2 linked regions of the Pelodiscus sinensis genome follow. The protein of the gene in region 1 interacts with the protein of each later gene in a pairwise test. Links are inferred from orthologs where the notes say so. Each region holds a gene or a part of one and is shown on either strand. Other genes may lie near its edges.

The links.
Region 2: the proteins of E3 ubiquitin-protein ligase RNF103 (region 1) and ubiquitin-conjugating enzyme E2 E2 interact in a two-hybrid assay, tested with the Homo sapiens proteins (2 studies listed by BioGRID). The link is inferred for Pelodiscus sinensis from reciprocal best matches to the Homo sapiens genes RNF103 and UBE2E2.

Annotation. Positions count from the first base shown.
Region 1 is NC_134715.1:122,873,068-122,876,814, reverse strand, and holds the start of E3 ubiquitin-protein ligase RNF103, read left to right. Parts: upstream 1-1,171; 5' UTR 1,172-1,685; coding exon 1,686-1,911; intron 1,912-3,747. UniProt on the Homo sapiens protein: Acts as an E2-dependent E3 ubiquitin-protein ligase, probably involved in the ER-associated protein degradation pathway.
Region 2 is NC_134712.1:189,669,007-189,672,753, reverse strand, and holds the start of ubiquitin-conjugating enzyme E2 E2, read left to right. Parts: upstream 1-1,162; 5' UTR 1,163-1,333; intron 1,334-3,747.

The sequences.
Region 1 (3,747 bases):
GATGGGGGGACAGGAGAAGTGTGTAGGGACGGGTGATGAGGGGCAGGATGAGTGGCCGGGGAAGAGATGGGACAGGAGGAGTGAGTAGGGACGGGTGATGAGGGGCAGGATGAGTGGCCGGGGAAGAGATGGGGGGACAGGAGGAGTGTGTAGGGACGGGTGATGAGGGGCAGGATGAGTGGCCGGGGAAGAGATGGGGGGACAGGAGAAGTGTGTAGGGACGGGTGATGAGGGGCAGAATGAGTGGCCGGGGAAGAGATGGGGGGACAGGAGAAGTGTGTAGGGACGGGTGATGAGGGGCAGGATGAGTGGCCAGGGAAGAGATGGGGGGACAGGAGAAGTGTGTAGGGACGGGTGATGAGGGGCAGGATGAGTGGCCGGGGAAGAGATGGGACAGGAGGAGTGAGTAGGGACGGGTGATGAGGGGCAGGATGAGTGGCCGGGGAAGAGATGGGGGGACAGGAGGAGTGTGTAGGGACGGGTGATGAGGGGCAGGATGAGTGGCCGGGGAAGAGATGGGGGGACAGGAGGAGTGTGTAGGGACGGGTGATGAGGGGCAGGATGAGTGGCCGGGGAAGAGATGGGGGGACAGGAGGAGTGTGTAGGGACGGGTGATGAGGGGCAGGATGAGTGGCCGGGGAAGAGATGGGGGACAGGAGGAGTGTGTAGGGACGGGTGATGAGGGGCAGGATGAGTGGCCGGGGAAGAGATGGGGGGACAGGAGGAGTGTGTAGGGACGGGTGATGAGGGGCAGGATGAGTGGCCGGGGAAGAGATGGGGGGACAGGAGGAGTGTGTAGGGACGGGTGATGAGGGGCAGGATGAGTGGCCGGGGAAGAGATGGGGGACAGGAGGAGTGTGTAGGGACGGGTGATGAGGGGCAGGATGAGTGGCCGGGGAAGAGATGGGGGACAGGAGGAGTGTGTAGGGACGGGGGCTGGGGGGACAGAATGAGTGTCCGGGGCCGGGCAAGCGACCGGGGGACGATGGTTTGCAGGGAGCAGCTCTCTACAAGCCACCGCGGGAGAATGGTCTATGAGCAGGGACGAGGGGGTAGGAAGAGGATCAGAGCCGGGGGAAGGAGGGGGTTCCCTGAAGCTGTGGGGGGGGGGGCGGGACCGGGGGCGGAGACAAGAAGGGGGCGGGACCCGAAATTCCCCCTCCCCGGCGCCCTTTGCCCCCTCCCCTGGCTCTCCCCGGTTGCGACGTCACTTGTTATGTCTCCGCCGGCGGCTCGGGCTCCGAGGGGGGGCGGGAGGCAGGCGGCGGCCGCCGGGCGGGGGAGGCCGGGACTCGGAGCCCGCAGGCAGGCGCTAGGCCCAGCCTCCCGCCCCGCTGACTACCCAGTCCCGGGCGGAGACCATCCTTGAGGGCTTCTGTCCCCCGGCTGCTCCCCATCCCCCTGCCTACCTGGGGGCCTCTCCCCCAGCCTGAGTGCACCCCCATCCCCTCCCCGGCCAACTTGGCAACCCCCCTGAAATCTCCTCCTCCCGTCGCTGACTGGGGACCAGGGCCGCCGGGAGAGAGCCCAGGAGCCGGGGCCAGGAGGAGGATCCGGGCGGCAGCAGCAGAGGGGTTATTGGTCTGAATAATTCGCTCCTTCCCCCGTCTCCTCCATTGGGATCTCTCTCTTTCTCTCTCCCCTAGGATTGGCTCTCTTCAGAGAGTCACATAGAGAGAGGAAAGATGTGGCTGAAGCTGTTTTTCTTGCTTCTCTATTTTCTGGTCCTGTTTGTCCTGGCCAGGTTTTTTGAGGCCATTGTCTGGTATGAAACTGGCTTCTTTGCCACCCAGCTGGTGGACCCCGTGGCCCTGAGCTTCAAGAAGCTGAAGACCATTTTGGAGTGCAGAGGGCTTGGGTACTCTGGGCTGCCGGAAAAGAAAGATGTCAGGGAGCTGGTGGAGAAGTCAGGTAAGAGATCATACGTAAGAAGATATTTCACCCATTAACGAGAGATGTGCTGGCTTTTTCCCCCCCTAGGAATGGTTTTTCTGTAGTTAAAAAATCTCTGAGCACTTGATTTAAAAAACTTTACACATTAACTGCTTATTTTGGAACAAAATCATCTCTGTAGTAATACTCTTACATTCCTAATAGCAGTTTTTGTACTGAAGGATCCTAAAGTGCTTTCCAGATTGTTCATACCCTACAGCACCACTGAAGTGTAGCCCCTCTGGGGTGTAGGATAGCAGCCAGCTGGCACAGGCCATGCTGTGCAACACTAATGTGTGAGGAGGGAAACTTTGGCCAAGGACATCAGTCAAAATCTACTTATGAAAAGTATGATATGTCTATGATGAAGGGACAGAGCCTCAGCTTTTCCAGTCTTGTCAAACTGTTATATACAATACGCATATCTTTTTCCCAGCCTGGTGTCTGTCCACCTTTATGGGTTAACAGCTCTCCAAGAAGTATTTAAATAAATAACCAGTTGTCTCAGTAGACCAAATAATAAAATATTAGTGTGATAAATGTAAGAGATTATTCCAAAAGCTGTAGAACTGTGAAATACATTAAATTTCTTACACAAGTCATATATGTGAATAGCATATTATACCATCTATCTAAAATATCAGCCTTCTGTATTCAGTCAAACTTGAAAACTTGAACAAAGGTTTTGGTTTCAGGAAAGAGAATATTTCAGGGAAGTTACTCTGAGAGGCTGTGGGATGATTGAATCTGAATGTTAGATTATGTTTGCACAGTAGGAAATATACTGTCAGCTTTGCTTCTAGGTATCAAACATTTGTTTTTCTCCCAGTGCATCCTCCGTGCTACTGTAGCCCTCAGTAATTTAACTATATAGGCCAAAATATTAAGCCTTTAGAAGGGCACTGTCTTGGGCCTAATTTTGGTCACGTTAGTCTTGTCCTGGTGTAACTCCACTGACTTACCATTGATATTACCATAGTGCTTAAAGGTCTCAGTTAGGACCTCCATTCTGATGTGCTATGTAACTTAACTCCTGTGCCAAATAGCCTGCTGTCTAAAAAGGCAAATGACCTTTGGAGCTAGATTCACAAAGGGATTTAGGCATCTAACTGCCAGTTTAGTTGTATAAAATCCCAGATACCCACTAGTACTTAAAAAGTCCCACTCAGCTGCCACCTAACCCTGAAGGTGCCTAAACTCACTCAACACCCAAGTTTTTGCAGGAAAAGTTCCCTAGATGCCTATATTTCTGCCTCAGAGCATGCACTCTGATACTGCTCTCTAGGTGTCTGGGTGCCTGAGTCCCAGTGTAATTCATTATCTGGAGGAAGATAAGTGCTCCTCTGCCGGACCTAACTCACTTGTGAGGCCCAATCCAGTTGTTGTGTTCTGATTATATCTAACTCCTCCCAAAATGGCCAATGATGGCAAGAGGTGTTCCTACATATATTTTAGCCCGTTGCCGTTTTACCTAGTCTTGTTACAATGGAGGTCCATATAACCCTAAGCACAACATTACGTGGGCCAAACAGATTCTACATATTTTAGTAAGATTTAAAGTCACGTGTATTGATTTTTATATTCAGCTTGTTTCATATGTATGTGGATATGTTGCTTCTATGTACAGTAATGTCTGTTTACACCCTTGTGTGCACTCTGTCATGTGCCCAATGACTCTAATTACTTATCTGAAGCGGAATAGCAAGTGGTAGATCAGGCATCAAGCACTACTGCCAGTGGGGGGGACTTGAACCACTGGGTCACAGACATACCAGCTGAATATCCTAGACATTGGGCTGAAAGTTGTGGGGCAAC
Region 2 (3,747 bases), on another chromosome or scaffold:
ATGAAACTCTCAAGACACCATCTGACTGACCCAGGTCAGATCCTTGCATTCTGTACTCTCTCTCACGTGACATTTAAACCAGGATATACCCATTTTATCCTTGGAGCAGCCACCTTCCATTATATCTCACTCCTTTCATTTATGCACGATACTAGCCCATTGATGTCCCCTATTGCACTCACATTTCTTAAATGTAATGCCTCATGCAACTGCTTCCTTTATACATAACTCCTGCACACACCCCTATGCACCTATGTTCAATTACACATAACCTTGTTCCCAGAAATTAAGCTCCTTATATATATATCTCTCCAGGAATCCAGCTCCCTCCCACATAACCCACCCGCTCAGGTGCCGAGCTCCCCTCACACCTATCCCCCCAGGTACTGAGCTCCCCTCCCCACCTAACCCAACTGCCTGGGCACCCATCTCCCCCCCACACCTAACCCACCTGCCCTGGCACTCAGTTCCTCCCCACACCTAACCCACAAGCCTTGGCACCAGCCCCCCCCACCTAACCCACATGCCCAGGCACCTAGCTCCAATCCACACCTAACCCACGTGCTCTGGCAACACAGCTCCCCCTCCCCCCCCACATAACCCACTTGGCTGAGCACCCAGCTCCCCCCAACACACCTGCCCAGGCCACTTGGCTGAGCATCCAGCTCTCCCCAACACACCTGCCCAGGCACCCAGTTGCCCCCCCCCACCTACCCCACCTGCCCTGGCACCCAGTTCCCCCCCCACCTATCCCACCTGACCTGGCACCCGGCTCCCCCCCCACCTACCCCACCTGCCCTGGCACCCAGTTCCCCCCCCACCTACCCCACCTGCCCTGGCACCCGGCTCCCCCCCCCCACCTACCCCACCTGCCCTGGCACCCGGCTCCCCCCCCACCTACCCCACCTGCCCTGGCACCCGGCTCCCCCCCCCACCGACCCCACCAATTCCCATCCCCCCACTCCCGGGATCCTCTTGGACCCGATTCAATGGTCTCATCCCAGCGTGCCCGCCGGCGTGTCCCTTTAACGCGCGCTCCCGCCAGACCGCTGCGCCCCCGCGCCAGGCCGCTTGTCATTTTTTTTCTCCTCCCCCCGTGCGCGAGCCCGCCCCGCCCCCCGAACCCCGCGAGCTCCCGGCTCATTGGCTGTGGGGAGCGCGCGCGCGCGCGGCGCTGTCGGGTGCGCGCGGCGGCAGCTTCACTTCTCTCCGGGCAGCGGCGGCGGCAGCAGTAGCCGAGGGGGCAGCGCGCAGCCCCCACCCTTCGCCTGGCCCCAGCCGGGCCGCCCGCAGCCTGAGCCGGCGTCAGCCCCAGCCCTGAGCCCGCCCGCAGGTAACGCTCCCCGCCTCTGTCCCTCCCGCTGCTTGCCCCCCGCAGCGCCCTCCTGCCCCACCCCCTCCCCCGCCCGCCCCGCCCCTTTCCCGCCCAACCCCGGTGCCCGCCTGCCCCCTCCCGCATCAGCACCTGCCCCCTCCCCTCCCCCCTCTCCCGCATTCACCTGCCCCTCCCAGCCGCCTGCCCCATTCCTCTCCCCTTGGCCGCCACCCCCACATCCCTCTGCCCTCCCTGCTCCACTCTTCTACTTTCCTCGCTCGGCCCTCCCCTCCCCTCCCCCCATGCCGCTAGCTCCCCCCTGCCCTGTTCCTCTGCCCCCTACCAGCACCACCTGCCCCATTCCTCTTCCTCCCCATCCCTCTGGCTGCTCCAGCATCACTTGTCCCCTGACCACATCCCCTGCTCCTCTGTCCACTCCATCCTCCTTCCATAGCCCACCTTATCCCATTCTTCCGCCATAGCCTTAACCCCCTGCCCCTTCATCCATCCTCCCCAAAACATAGTCCCACCAATTCCTATGTGCTTCCCACCCTAGCTCCATCAGTCTCTGTTCTCTTATACTTACTATGTCCTCTGCCTCACCATCTGCCCATTCCTGTATTCTCCAGCTAACACTGCCTGTCCCACATCTCTTTCCCCAGCTACTTCTGTCCCACAGCTCCCCAGAACATTTGTGTCCTGTGTCATTGCTACCACATCCCCCACCCTTTGACACCCCACCACATCTCACTGCAACAGCCCCATCCATCTCCCTGCCCCCATACGCTCACCATGTCTCCCTGCCTAGCCCCATCAATTTGCCCCTCTTCCCTTTGGTACCCCACATCCTTCCTGCCTCTGTTCCTCACCCAGGGTCCTAGCAATGCCTTCTCTCAGTTTTCCTACAATACTAATTGCATCCTCCAGCAATCCCTCCTTCACTATCCCCTACAGTACTCCCCCACACAGGTAAAGACCACCTTCTTTTGCCTCTAACCATCCTTGTATCATCACCAGTAATTCTTTACCTTTTGTTCTTCTCTGCATTGTCCTTCTGTCCCCTAGAAATACCCTTCCTGCTCCTTAGGACCTTGTTCTTAAACGCCCCTTATCCTTTCTCTGCACTCATGCACAGACATGTATATGGGTCAAATAATTCCATTCCCCCATAAATCCCTTATCTCTGTTCTCACTGATATAAACATCCCCTCAAGGAGAGGGATGGGGAGAAATCCCCCTTCCAGAAATACATAAGGATGGGAATTAGAATTCCTTACTGGTATTTGCTACCTTATGCAACTACCTCTTCTACAGCAGAGATGGATAAACCACTCCACTCATGGTGACAAGAGCAAACTAATCCCGTAGCTCATCTTGCCCAACCCCCATTTCTTCCTTACATGACCTCTATGCTTTCCTTACAAATTCTTCTCCTGCTATTATCTGCTGTCCACTACTTCTCACCCTAATGCCTCTGCCCCATATCCTTTCTCTTCCATCCTCTCTTTCCACTTTCTCTGTATTACTTTGTGTGGAGGAAGAAAGGATCTGGAATGTGCAGGATAAATGTCATTTTGAAAAATGCCCATTTCAGTCCCCTGCTATCTTTTTGTACTGCTTAATTATGTTGAGTCTCTATGACATGTGCCTCTCCCTCCCACTCCAGGCAGCAGGAAAACAGGAGAAGGGGGGGTGTGTGTGTGTGTGTGTGTGTGTGTGTGTGTTGAGTCTCTATGACATGTGCCTCTCCCTCCCACTCCAGGCAGCAGGAAAACAGGAGAAGGTGTGTGTGTGTGTGTGTGTGTGTGTGTGTGTGTGTGTGTGTGTGTGTGTGTGTGTGTGTGTGTGTGTGTGTGTGTGTGTGTGTGTGTGTGTGTGTGTGTGTGTGTGTGTGTGTGTGTGTGTGTGTGTGTGTGTGTGTGTGTGTGTGTGTGTGTGTGTGTTGGTCTGGAGCTGCAGCAGCATTTTATTTTTTGGTCCCTCAAACATAGACCCTGGCCTGGGGTTGGCTATGAATTGGACTCTTCCTGCTTTTTCTCCTGTAATGTTAAGATTTTTTGTGTGTGCCCTTAATGGTTTCTAATTAAGATGGAGCGAGGTAGCTGCTCCTGCTACTGCTTTCCATGGACCCAGAAGAAAAGTTGCATTTGTCCTTTTGGTTCTAAGAAATCAAGTCAATTTAAGAGAGGCATCATCCCTGGCTCTCTTGCCCTCAGGACCTATCTGCACATTGCTGGAATCTTTTTTTTCCCTGGCTGCAGCTGTTGTTTTTTGATGGCGGGTTGATTGGGTAAATGAAATAAGTAAGTTGTCTTGAACATGTTTGGTTTCAAAATTTACAGATCGGGTTTAATATCAAGGTGTTTAAATACATCATGATTCTTTAGGGTAATACTTGTAATCCTCCTTCTGTTCCCTCCATCCAGCTCTCA